Kluyveromyces lactis: one gene and its partners. The protein of the gene in region 2 interacts with the protein of the main gene of each other region in a biochemical or structural test. Links are inferred from orthologs where the notes say so. Each region holds a gene or a part of one and is shown on either strand. Other genes may lie near its edges.

Region 1 (3,094 bases), on a different chromosome or scaffold from region 2:
GCGCTACTCGAATCACACAATAGCTCGGACATCCCGAAACATTAATGGTGCAGCTTACTCAGTTTACTAAGTTTGCAAGGATAGAGAGGGGAAGGAATCGTATCGGGTCGTAAGAATTACTGCATGTGGCAATGTATGACTGAAGAGCATACCATAGTGAAGGAAAGAGTCATGCGTGTTAAAGTCCGGATCAATGGATTTTTTGCATTTTCGTTCACAGATTTCCTAGTGCGTGTAATTTGTTTTTCTTGGTTTGACCTTCCCTGCAACGAGGGGGCCCCTAAAACAAACAAGAAAAAATCGCATTTAAGATAATCGCAGAACGGCGGCTCCGAAATGGGATCTTTTCGTCTCAATTTCTTTTTTTCCTTTCCAAAGCACAAAACCGCATTATGTTTATCTGATGGTGTTCTTTGTTCATTTTGGAGACCTCTACACAAGAAAATGATATAATACGCTAGTGGTTACTTAGTCATTCGTTTGTTTTTGGATGGTGTGTCTCATGACACGATTTCGTTCCATAACAGCCGCTTCAAATCCTTTGTATTTAGCCGCGACTTCCATTGGTCAAATTGAAAGAATGACGAAGGAATCGGAGTTCCTTCGGGCTCGTCGTCCGGGTCATGGTACGAGACCAAGTATGGATGTGATAGCGCTTCCGTGGCAGTGATCCGTAGCCTCGGATCGAATTGCAGCATCCGGTCAAGGAGATCAAGAGCGGCTGCAGATGCATTCGGGAACCTACGCCGCCAATTGATCTTGGGATGCTTAGGTAACGAGCGAATGTACTCACGTGCACGTCTATTTTCTACTAGCTCCACCAATTCTTGTTCCGTGGGTGTCCCTAAAGTCTGAAATATCAGGATCAACTGATCTCTGTAATCTTTCCCGGGGAACAACGGTTGTTTCCCCAAGAGCTCGGCAAGAATGCATCCGCATGACCATACGTCCATGGACTTGGAGTACTGTGCAGCTGTTAACATTACTTCCGGTGCTCGGTACCATCGGGTTGCCACATACTCTGTCATTCCCGAAATTGCCGGGTCACCGTCATTAGCCGCCGATGAAGGGGAGTTATCATCCGTGTCATCAGCGTCAACATGGGCATCGCCATCTGTTGCTCTTTCAGATACAATTCTTGCCAAACCAAAATCACAGATTTTCAAATCGCAGTTGCTGTTTAACAACAAATTACTTGGTTTTAAATCTCGATGGATCACATTACTTCCATGCAGCACTTTAAGCGCCCTTAAAGTTTGGTATACAAAATACTGCACATGATCCTCACTTAGTTCCTGCGTCACGATCACTCTATGCAAGTCCGTCTGCATCAACTCTTGAATTATGTACACCTCGTTAAACTGTTCGAAAGATGATGGTTTTTGCACGTCAAATATGCTGATTATGTTTTCGTGTTGGAAATGCTTCAATATCTTGATCTCTCTTAATGTTCTAATAGAAAATAGGGGTTTCTCAAAAGGTTCGATCTTTTTGATAGCAACTATTTCTCCACTGGGTTTGTGCTTCGCTGAACATACCACTCCGTAAGCACCCTCACCGAGAAGCGACTGTAGTTGAAACTCAGAGCTTATGTTAAATACTATCCTCTTGCCCATTGTCACACTATCTATCTCTGGTTCTCTGGATGAATAAAACCAGAGCAAAAATTTGTCCACCCCTTCTTGCCTGAGAATTTATCCATATTTACCCACTTTTAGGTATGATATATATATATGTAATATCTTAAGTCTTCTTGTTTCTCACTAAATCGCCTCAAAACCTCAAACCATCGAAGTTTTCACTTTAATTGTTTGTAATTCATGAACGCGACATTCCCCATATTCCCTTAAGTACGGCCGTTTCATCTTGAAACGAGACTAATTTCTTCAGAGATAATGTGAAACAAGCTGCAACAGTTTAGGGAAAAATTAAGGTTCTTAATTATGTTCACATTCACGTGACGCGTCCTTTTTTTTCCTTCTTCCCTTTTACCAACTTTCAAATGCTCAGAATTGGTATTATCAAAATTGCTAGGAGGAAAAAATAGAATATATCGTACAGATTGTCTTTTGAACCATTGTTCAACAGTTCGTTGTAATTTTGGTCTTAGCGGTAGTTAGCTTGTGTTTCATGTATATACTCAATTACCGATATAAACGAAACCCTTTTACATTGCTTGCAGTACTTTTAACGTCTTTGTCTCATGTTTTGGTGGAATATCCTTATTTGGCTGGGGCTTTGGAACTTTCTGCCCGTTTTGGCTCAGGATTTTAAACCCAAGGTATCGTTCCATTCGGATGTAGACACGCATGGCCGCTTGTCTATCCTCGGATTTGATGATTCGAGAGTAGTTCTTAAACTTCTTCGTGGTGTTGAGCTTTATAGAAGTGAGGATAATGGTGTTACTTGGGATTCGGTGGGATTGCCCCTTTCGTCTGATAACAAACCTCAGGAATGGAATCACTTGGTACTAGATCGGATTTATAAAGCAGATGTTGCATATTTGAGTGGTGAAAACGGCGTTTTAGCTACCGGTGATAAAGGGAAATCTTGGAAACAGTTAACTTTCCTAGACGCAGATAATCATAAGATAGACTTCTCTGATTATTCGAACGTCGGCGATGAAAATCGTAAACCGATTATCAACGTTGAAATCGAGTCACATCCCACAAATAAGAATGCAAGAATTATCAATATCTATGAACTAGGTAAACTGGATGGTAAATTTACCTTAAGGCAGATTTCGTTTTATTCCAAAGATGGTAACAATTTCAAATTGGCCAGCTCTGGTTCTAAAAGTAATGATGATTCAAACCCTTTAAACATGTTTTGTTCATTCGTACAGAAATCATCAAAATCAAAACTGTACAAATTAAAAGACAAGGTAATCTGTCAGGAGAGTACCGTACTATCCCCTTTCGGAGATGTTTCCAGTAAGTTGTATATCACCGATGTTAATTTTAAGAGTTTGAGTCCGTTTGCCGAACAATTACAGGATTTGTCTCCAGCATCAACGTTCATTTCCGATAATCATCTATTTATCTTGACATTATCAGATCGGTTCAATGAAAATTCTGCCGCAAATCTCTGGAGA
Region 2 (4,056 bases):
TAATTTATCATAAATCCAGAAAACATTCAGTATTCAACAAGCATTTCATGGTGTTGATTCCTGGGTTTATAATGTTGTACCACTGTTTCGATAGATCCATAAGGGGCTACGCGAAAGATTCGACAAAGTATAGACATTTTTTAACGATTCCGATAGAGAAATGCTATCTATATTCAGGTGCCCTCAGTGAACAGGAACTCTTGGACCGAGACAAAGACTTTAACTCTATTAATCCAGGTTCTCATAGTCTCTCAAGAGTGTATGCTGACGGATGGAAAAGCATGGATGAAGAGAGTAGTAGGACTTTTGTTATGTGGTTTCCAAACAAAAGGATAATGTTAAGTTCAGTAATAACACCAGAAACTCCGGACTCTTCAAAATTTCACGTTGTTGATAAACTTGGAGTCTCGGGAAAATCGATGATTTTTATGTGTCGATCCAGGCAAGAGAGAGATTTGTGGATGGTAAAAATATATGATGAATTAGAGAGAGTGAAAATGTTATAAATAGTCGTACATATGATTTGATTGCCGGTCTTCAATAGATTCACTAATACCATTCATAGATCCTGTCAAGTCAGCCTGTACGTGATTTTCCCAGGATATAGGTGATGAAAGCCGGAATGTTCTATTCTTATCTGGAACTGAATCCACTTCAAAATCACTAGAGGAGGTACTGACACAGTCACTACTATCTAAATCATCATCAAAGCTCAAATTAAAACTATAGGCAACAGCTTCAAGCAATTCGTTCCAGTCCTGAATTTCAACGAGTTCTTTGATATTATCACTATAATCTACATTCAGAAAGCCTACTTTTATTTTTAATTCATTTGGATGCCGTTTGCCTGCATCAGCGAATATTCGATAATCGCTAAAAAGACATGATTTACCATTCTCCATGGATGAGTTTGATAAAACAACAACCCCAACATTTTTGCATATTTTCTGTTTTTGCCGATACCATAATTGGTGTAAAAGATCTGGAGAGAATGGTTGATTACCATTACTTTTTATCGGACCAGCCAACGAATTGAGAACATCGTTAGCAGTTCCGCAATTGATGACCATTCCTTCAACATCAACAATACAGCAGTTAAAAGTAGAAAACTTCCAAGTCAAAGCTAAAATGACGTTCTTGATCGAGACGATATTATCTTCATTAGTCTTTCTTTTATCTAATTGCAACACCAAATTTAATTCATTTGGTGTTGCTCTTTTGATGGACAAAATGGATGATATTGAGGTTAACACGGATGAATCTCGAATTGTTTTAGGGATAAGGGTTTCATTTAAGGTACTCTGTCGTCTGACAATGATTGTACCTGTATCATTGGTGCTAGGAATGCAAGCCACAAATTCGGGAACCTTGATCGAAGTGAAATCATAATTTCCGAACGGCAAAGTAAGATCAAATAGAGCTGTTATCCATTTTTCTAAAGCTTTTGTATCCAACCCATAAGGTTTAATAAGAATTCTTTCCCCAGAACGAGATTTTGATTCAAGAGTAGTTGCATCTAATAAATCTAGTTCAGGAGGATTATTCAATTGGAAACAACGGTAGCTCGAGAATTGAAGAACATTTGCCGAAGTAGCAGGAGATGGTCGACATACTAGTAAATATTCCGAAAATAGGTAGCAAACCTGGTGTTGGAAATTTATGCCATCTAATGATATCAAAAAATTATCTATCAATCGTAAGAGTCCATATTTAGCATCAATTTCCCAAGGCTTGACTTCGCTAAAACTATTCAAAAACGCTTGAATGAAATACTGCCTTTGAACGTGCAAAGAAGGCAGTTGACAGTCATCTTTCGAGGAAGATGATACGATGGACGACAAGCCAGAAACCGTACTTCCTCTGAAGTTGGATCTTCTTTTTATACTGCGACTCCTATGCAAACGGATGGAATCTCGAAGAGATGGAGTAACCGTTTTCCCTGGTTTCAAAGAAAATGCAAAAGATAACCTGATATCGTTATTTCTTGCAGTTGTTCTAGTAGTCTGCAAATGTGGAAACGTTTCATCATTACCTGAGTGCTTGGGTAAGAGGTCTGCATCGCACAATTTTATCCGCTCGTAGTTTTCTTGAGGATTATACGGTTCGAGTCCAACACTTTCACCGTCATCAGGTAAGGTTAACAAGTGTGACCTTACCTTCTGTCGCATATCTTCCTGTCCCGGTATGCATGACATACTACAGATGTCGCATTTCGGCAAGGCATCATACAGGTTTGATTTATGAGGAAGAGGTCGTAAACTCACCATTAAACAATCTTCATGACACATATGGTTACACTCCAAAGGGATTACCTTCTCATTAGAACCCTTGAACGAACAAAGATCTCCGCATATGCAACATCTCTCATTTTTCCAAGACTTATTACCATTTTTTCGAGTGGGCTTCTTTCCTAAGGTCTCATGTCCAATGGGAGAGAGCATTATGGGTGGAGGCGGCATGATCGGATCTACCAGGAGGTGCTTAGGATGCTGTTTTGACACTGGTCTTATGGGAGAACTATCATAGAAGGAAGATATCATGGATGATGCAGTCGATGGAGTACCAACTGAAGGCGTCTTCACTCTCTTCTTAGAAAAAAGCTCTGTCCATCTTCTTGGCGATGAGGTATTGGACCCTGAAGTGGATCCTGTATCCAGTTTAGGCACCGGGGAGGATCCCACATTAGTCAATTGAAATAAGATATCCTGAGAATTCATTGATGATGTATTACCTCTAGACATTTCTAGCAAAGTAATAGTTAATATGCTCTAGTCAGCCGTAGTGTTACTCTTAAATTCCTTAAAGTTTGAAGACTTTTGGATGTATTCTTAATACTTTGAACAATAATTGTTCAGTTATTCAATTGATAGATTAGCACATAAGTAACGATATCATGGTAGCTACTTTGGAGAATTCACTAAAAGAATCTCAAATCTCCCGGAATCTGCAATCACTATATTTTCCCCTTTCATCATGATGCCATTTTGAGGTTGTTTCAGATTTAAACATCAACGGTCTTAAGTAATGAATAATTTTCTTCCCTTAAATGAAAACAGAGATAGTGATGAAATCAGGACAAAGTGTACATTTTAGGAAGTCGATGAGTAGGGTCCTGCAGTGACTCTGGAACCAGGGTGACAAAACTGTCTCTAGTATATCTATGATACTTTAATTCAGTAAATACAATTTATATATAGACTAGATGTAAGTCTAGTAAATAGAGATGAGATGATTATTGGGGTAAGTCGTCGTGAGATCAGTCATTAGAAAGGTGAGTAGATGATTCAATGATGGACAAGGTATTGTAACTTTTCATCTGTCTAATATGCGGCTTCGCATTTGACGACATTGTATCGTAGCAACCAAAAAGGGGAGAGACAATTTATGGTGAAGAACAATGTCAGATTAGTTTACAAAACCTAGTTCACAATAAATCATGTTTATAACAGGCGCAAGATCAACGTAAGAAAAGAAGATTGTAGCACGAATTATTGAGGTAGTTTTTGGGAGTAATGAGAAAATTCTGTATCGTTGTTTTGTTTGGGAAGAAATTAAAACGCAGGTAATCCGTAATGGCAGGCATCAGTAACCAGATAATGTTCTCGGCATTGAGAATAAGCATCAACGAAGTCTCATGGAGAGAGAGAGAATGAGAAGTCACAGATGAACATTCATGTTTTAAAACCGAAAAAAACAGTTATCTGAATAGAAACCATACCGTGAATGAAATGAATAAAAAACACTTGTATCTAAAAGGTGTTTTTTTATGATTTTGGTACTTTAATATTGATTGGTGGAAAATAGCAGATGCACTATACAAATAGTATCATCTTGTGAACCTTATAGCATAATATTGTGAAAGGGCAGTTTATAGGAATATAGTTGTCTTTCGAAAAGGGAAGAGTAGAGAGATGGGAATAAAAAAAAGGATAAACGCAAAGAAGTTAACTTTAACGTTCAATTACCTAATTCGTTCTTGCTCTAATCTCTGAAAGCAAAGCTCTTCTTAGCAAAATCCCAAGTATCTTCTTGCAATCTACCTCTTAGGGTTGGAGT
Region 3 (3,415 bases), on a different chromosome or scaffold from region 2:
TAATATCACAAGTTTATTTAATCCACCAGCACAAAGGGATCTAACAGATGAAGAGACAAGAGATTGTATTCCATGTCAAATAATGGCAACCGCATTCTCATTGGGATTTGGTGGGTATCTAGCCAGCGGTAAACCGTTCCAATACGGTGAAGCTGAAAAGAAGAAAGGTGTAACCGTTGAACAGTTCGCAAAACTGAATCCAAAATGGTGGGTATCTTCAGCAAGATTATTCGGTGGAGCCTTGATTGCCTTCGGAATATATAGAGGAACGGAAGGATGGTTATGGAATAAAGAGAAAAAGTATAAGGTTTGGTAATAGTTTTTCGATTTAGTGACATTAGTGAATATTTCCGATTCTATATGAAAGTCCTAAATAAGTTGTATATAAATTCTTTATGCTACTGATCCATAGTCCGTTCCTGTAATAATGATCGTTATTGAGATGAGATGCAAACTAGGACATCAATTTATCCTAATATAGTGCAATTTCTTAATTTATTTCATCGCCTTGTACTCGAAGACCTTGCGGCTGTAACAGCCAACGCTGCTTTCTCTAATTGTCTTTTTTCGATCTTACTTCTCTCTGTCTCTTCTCTTCTTATCATCTTATCCTCTTTGATCCGCTTCTTCACTTTTTTGCACCAATGCCTGAATTCTTTTGCAATAGTGTCTCTGTTGTTATACTTACAGATGAAATCATGACATATCAATTCTTTCAAAGATGATCGTCCTCTCTCCTCCTTAATGCAACACCTGTTCACGAAATCTGTCATTTCTATGGAGTAATGTTCATTTTTTGACAGTTTTGGAGCAGGTTCATTGACAATTCTCTGTAAAAGATCAAGAATCCCTTCTGGTGTGTCGTGATGTCCACCTAGTGGGAACTCACCACTACTGAGCTCGATGATCATAAGACCTAATGACCACACATCACCTTTAGTAGTATATCTGCCACCTTGGATACGTTCAGGTGACATGTAAGTGGAGGTTCCGACAAAGGTATCCGCAAGAGAGTTAATTAGAGTAGTAGAGACACCAAAATCGCAGATCTTTACGTCTCCCTTCGAGTTTATCAATATATTGGACGGTTTGATGTCCCTGTGAATGATTTTATAGCAGTCATAAAGATAGATAAGTCCATTTAAAACACAAAAGGAGATCCTTGAGAGAGGCATTTCGTTGAACCACGATGTCTTGCACGATATAGAAACGTTTTTCCTATGGCAATCAGATCTGTAAACTGACAAAATCTTATCTAACGAGCCACAATCCATATATTCCATAAGAATCACTATTTCGTTAGTGGTGGATGGATTGTAAAATGCACCGTAGAAACCAACAATGTTATCATGGGCTGAAACATTTTTCATGATGGTTAGTTCTCTAACAAGTTGATTTTTCAGCACTTCCTTATTCTCTACTGGTATAGTTTTCTTAGCTATGATTCTAGAATCAGGTACATGCAAAGTCTTCACCACAGTACCCGAATTTCCCGCTCCAATCTTGCTCAATCGTACAAGGTTTTCGAGTTGAATTCCGTTCTCTGGGGTTAAAGAAAGTCGAGCAATCTGAGTAGTCAATGTGGCCGTTTCATCTGTCTCCTGTTGCATCATACTGACTCCTGTAGGAGTAAGTGACATTGGAGCATCTCTTGTGGTTGGTGTAGTCCCGCTGACAATGGAAGATATATCTGATGTACTAGAACTCCCTTGAAGGAATGAAACCGTCTGGAATGAAGTGTCTCTGCTAATTGGACTTATTTCCTCACGGACCGGAAGCTTCTCCAACATCAAACTGAGTGTTGGACCATTTCCATTACTAAAACCTTTCGGTATTTCGTCAGGAGAGGAAGATGATGATGAACATGATGATTCTAGAGTCAAATGCTTCAAATTCTTCCGTTTCAAAGTCTTCGGTTTGAACAAACTATTGCACGATCCCTCTGCACTATCATTCGACGGTTCATGGTTTATTCGATTCAATAACATCGAGCCGTTTTGGGTACGTGTAATCATATGCTTTTAAGTCAATCTGACCTCAATGTTCACCACTTTCTGCGCCTCTTCTCTTTGGAGATATTAAAGTTTTACGATCAATAATAGATATTAATACCAAAGCCAAACTTACAGGCTCAGATGATTGTAAAATGAGACAAAAATTAAAATGCAACTAGAAACCCTAATAGAAAGACCCCACCAGGTTCCAAAAAACAACACACGTTGGCTCTTTGCAACACTCCTTGCTGCCTCAGTAATCGTCTCTTTCTTCTTCTGAGTTACTGCTTAGCCTTGTATAGGCTTTCTTTATCATTACTTAATTATTACGCTACTTTTTATTTATACGGTGCATGATAAATTAGTGTGGTCCTCAACGGAACCACGAATAGAACAAGAAAATGAAAGGAAGTCACTTCTGCTATTGAACGTAATGGGAATGCCTAGTTGCCTCGAGCATTCTCATTTCAACGTACGCTCATATGCGCTGATACATCTATATATATTTTTGTCTAGGCATTCCCATTATTCGCACTGCATCGTACCTTATCGCTACAAGTGATAGAGAAGCCTCACGGTGCTGAGCTTAGCCCTTGGCATATTTGTTACCCGGACATGTCTTCACTTTTCTTATCACGTGACAATTCGGATTTTGTGAAAAGGGTGATATCCGTTACCCGCACTTGTAATTGCTTCAGTAGGGTAACATTGCTCTTCCCTCCACTCTGGAAAGAAGAAAAAATTATGAAGTTTAGAATTAATTTGAACAATTATTACAGAGGCACAAGAGGAAATAAAAGTATAACATGTGTATTATGGTCATAGGTATAGTATTTATACATTCTACTCTGTGATATTAGCAACAGCATAGTTTCCGGATATACACTAATTGACTAATTTTATTAATTGACTAATTCATTGAAGCTTTATTTAAGAAGGTTTAACTTTATCTGCAAAGAATATTAAAGATAATTGATAATATGGGCAGCGATACAAGCGAAAGTAATAACGACTGGAAGACCCAGTTGAATATTCCTAAAAAGGATACGAGGCCTCAGACTGATGATGTGTTGAACACGAAGGGTCGTTCGTTTGAAGATTTCTATTTGAAAAGAGAACTTTTGATGGGTATATTTGAAGCAGGGTTTGAGAAGCCTTCCCCAATCCAAGAAGAAGCTATTCCCGTTGCCATTGCCGGGAAGGATATATTAGCGCGTGCCAAGAACGGTACTGGTAAGACGGCAGCGTTCGTTATACCAACTTTGGAAAAAGTGAAGCCCAAGTTGAACAAAATTCAAGCATTGATTATGGTTCCTACAAGAGAGTTGGCTTTGCAAACATCACAAGTGGTGCGCACGCTAGGGAAACACTGTGGTATCTCTTGTATGGTTACCACTGGTGGTACGAATTTGAGAGATGAC
Region 4 (2,738 bases), on a different chromosome or scaffold from region 2:
GAAGGTAACCGCATCGTCGATGTTTCACTGATCATATTGAACGAATTATGATATGCGAGCCCCGAATAACACGTTTTATACACTTCACCAATCCTTAAAGCTATTTGCACCTGTTTTGGTGCTCTTGATGATTTCTTTAAGATCCACTTTGGTTTTCATTTTTTCTTCTATTGATGCGGGTCTTTTGTTCAAGTTCTTGTTCATTCTAATTATATCGCTACTTTATTTTTCATTTCAGGGCATAAAGTACACTTAAGGTTCATAAGGGATCAAAGAGTATGAAAAACGTGATGTGGTTATTCGTAGCTTTACTTAGTTATGTAATTAACTATATGATTGTCTAATATGAGTATGAGAATTCTTGTATTACTTTTCCTCAATTTGACAGACTAGGCGTCCTAATGAGAAGTACCCATGAAACGTAAAATCCTTGAGTCTCAGTACATTCATTCAAAGACTATGCGGATAGTTTTTTTTTAGTTCATAGAATATCGAACATATCAATTTAGAGGCTTCATAACTTCACCATAAAGCATCTTTTTCAACAGTTCCAGTGGAATATCGTCTTCCTCGTTTTTATCGCGGGCCTCGTTGTCAATTTTCCAAAAATTGTCTTCAAGGTTTAGTTGGGGATAATCTGGCTCGTCATCTGGATCATGATATGTTGCCAAATATGGATGTTCCAACGCTTCAACTGCACTGATCCTCTTGTCTGGGTTGAAAGTTAGCATCTTGGACAATAAATCGATAGCAAGAGGGTTAACTTCTTTATTTAACACATTAGCCCAGGGTATACCTTTCTTCATGGGTAGTTGAGATATGTATTCTTTTGCCCTTTTACTCTTGATTTGTTCAAAGTCTTCCAAAGTTGGAGACCCTAAAACTTCTAAGATGATCCAGAGTTGATGGTGGTAATCTTTACCTGGGAAAAGCGGCTTACCCATGATCATTTCTGCTAGTATACATCCACATGACCAGATATCCATTGCAGTTGTGTATTCTTGGAAGGACAACATGATTTCTGGAGCCCTATACCATCTGGTAGCTACATATTCTGTCATGAAACCCACCATATTCTCTCTTGATTGATCACTCGATGCCAGGCAACGAGCCAACCCAAAATCACACACTTTGAGATCACAATTGCTATTCAGTAACAAATTACTTGGTTTCAAATCCCTATGGATTACTTGTGCCGAATGTAGCGATTTTAAAGCCCTTAGTATTTGATAAACGAAATATTGGATATGATCCTCTGATAAATTTTGTTGGTTGATAATCTTCTGCAAATCCGTTTCCATCAACTCTTGTACAAGATAAACTGCTTCAAATTTATGCCATGACGTCGGACGTACTATATCCAAGACCGATATGATATTTTCATGCGAATGAAAGAATTTCAACAGTTTCAACTCCCGTAACGTCCTGGTAACAAACATCGATCTGCTAAACGGCTGTATCTTTTTAATTGCAACTTTCGTGTTTGTTGGCTTATGTATCGCAGAGCAAACTGTACCATATGCTCCCTCACCAACCAGATCTACTAGTTGATAATGGGATGGGATATCATACGTGATTGTTCGTGGCATCTCTATGCTGTTAGATCTCCGGTTTGCTTGTTATAATGATCTCTGCTATTCCACTATTATAGATTTAGTTTCCCCCCACTAAGGATTAAATATTATATATACCTATAGCGTCCAATTGCAAAACTCTGGATGGGAATCCTTTATCGTCATTCCCGAGCGTTGACTCGGCGCCTTAAGTATCCCATTGAGTTGACACAATGCGCGACGTTCCATGTCGTCCAGATAAAGAATGTTTCGTCCTTGAATCTTTGTTTCATGTTGGTGAACATTCCATCCAATCTCGAAACCTGAAAAAATGTTACCCCGGTGTCAGTCATGTGACTTATAATACACATCACTGCTCGGACATACCGCAATGCGCTTCACCGTTCAAGAAAGTGCAGTTTCACACATGTTCTGTCGGTTGTTACCACTGCGACTGAGCATAAATTGGATCCATGCGGGTAAATCTGCGGAACTCATTTCCCGATAGGTGAACTGAAAGTCATAGTTAAAGTTAACAGAGAATTGATAAGGGAATAGCTAAGACCGCAACGTGGATTTACAGATTTTTCGAGTTACCTTAAATGGTAGTTCCTCGAGAGAAGGCAACATGACTTGACTGTAAATGAGCTGGAAGTGATATCTAAGATAGGTGGGGTCGAGGCAGCGCGTTTGTCAGAATAGCATGGTTTGTCATCGGTAACATACATAAGTGAAGGGACATGGGATTGAGATTCTCTTTCCTCAGTAAAGTTTTCCAACCTAGTTTCAGTTTGAAGTAGGAAACAGCCAATTGGCAGATCACTTACTTGAGCATTCCCAGTTTCTATAGTAGAGTAAAACATCTACTGAATATATCTATAGCGGTGAAAGTCACAATTTCATCAGTAAGCTTTATTTGAGCCTGAAATTATCAAATGACATGTCTAACAAATCTCAGCCATTGATCACTGTTGTTGGTGCAGGTATTTCTGGTTTGTACGTCACGTACTGTTTGACCGAATTGTACGGCGTTCCGGGTGAAAATATCTGCATTGTGGCAGATTACTTACCAGGTGACCAGTCACCCACTGGTTATACTAGTCCATGGGCAGGTGGTGTTTGGTCTTGTATTTCACCTGATGATAAAAACGTCATGTGGTATGATAGGTTCACGTATGAGAATTT

The links.
Region 1: the proteins of STE5 (region 2) and FUS3 form a complex in vitro, tested with the Saccharomyces cerevisiae proteins (6 studies listed by BioGRID, with this or other methods). The link is inferred for Kluyveromyces lactis from reciprocal best matches to the Saccharomyces cerevisiae genes STE5 and FUS3.
Region 3: the proteins of STE5 (region 2) and STE7 form a complex in vitro, tested with the Saccharomyces cerevisiae proteins (3 studies listed by BioGRID, with this or other methods). The link is inferred for Kluyveromyces lactis from reciprocal best matches to the Saccharomyces cerevisiae genes STE5 and STE7.
Region 4: the proteins of STE5 (region 2) and KSS1 form a complex in vitro, tested with the Saccharomyces cerevisiae proteins (2 studies listed by BioGRID). The link is inferred for Kluyveromyces lactis from reciprocal best matches to the Saccharomyces cerevisiae genes STE5 and KSS1.

What each region holds. Positions count from the first base shown.
Region 1 is NC_006041.1:928,511-931,604, reverse strand, and holds FUS3 (mitogen-activated serine/threonine-protein kinase FUS3), read right to left. Parts: upstream 1,617-3,094; coding exon 501-1,616; downstream 1-500. Other genes in the region: PEP1 (type I sorting receptor), read left to right, coding at 2,204-3,094. UniProt on the Saccharomyces cerevisiae protein: Together with closely related KSS1, FUS3 is the final kinase in the signal transduction cascade regulating activation/repression of the mating and filamentation pathways, induced by pheromone and nitrogen/carbon limitation, respectively.
Region 2 is NC_006042.1:1,102,593-1,106,648, reverse strand, and holds STE5 (Ste5p), read right to left. Parts: upstream 2,742-4,056; coding exon 501-2,741; downstream 1-500. Other genes in the region: SPO71 (Spo71p), read left to right, coding at 1-506; PDA1 (pyruvate dehydrogenase (acetyl-transferring) subunit E1 alpha), read right to left, coding at 3,982-4,056. UniProt on the Saccharomyces cerevisiae protein: Component of the pheromone signal transduction pathway. It mediates pheromone signals acting between STE20 and STE11. It is absolutely required for pheromone-induced transcription of FUS1. May play a role in cell-cycle arrest in response to pheromone.
Region 3 is NC_006039.1:1,450,681-1,454,095, forward strand, and holds STE7 (mitogen-activated protein kinase kinase STE7), read right to left. Parts: upstream 2,016-3,415; coding exon 501-2,015; downstream 1-500. Other genes in the region: DMO2 (Dmo2p), read left to right, coding at 1-316; DExD/H-box ATP-dependent RNA helicase DHH1, read left to right, coding at 2,975-3,415. UniProt on the Saccharomyces cerevisiae protein: Serine/threonine protein kinase required for cell-type-specific transcription and signal transduction in yeast. It is thought that it is phosphorylated by the ste11 protein kinase and that it can phosphorylate the FUS3 and or KSS1 kinases.
Region 4 is NC_006037.1:217,443-220,180, reverse strand, and holds KSS1 (mitogen-activated serine/threonine-protein kinase KSS1), read right to left. Parts: upstream 1,590-2,738; coding exon 501-1,589; downstream 1-500. Other genes in the region: LUG1 (Lug1p), read right to left, coding at 1-35; KLLA0_A02475g (FAD-dependent oxidoreductase), read left to right, coding at 2,494-2,738. UniProt on the Saccharomyces cerevisiae protein: Together with closely related FUS3, KSS1 is the final kinase in the signal transduction cascade regulating activation/repression of the mating and filamentation pathways, induced by pheromone and nitrogen/carbon limitation, respectively.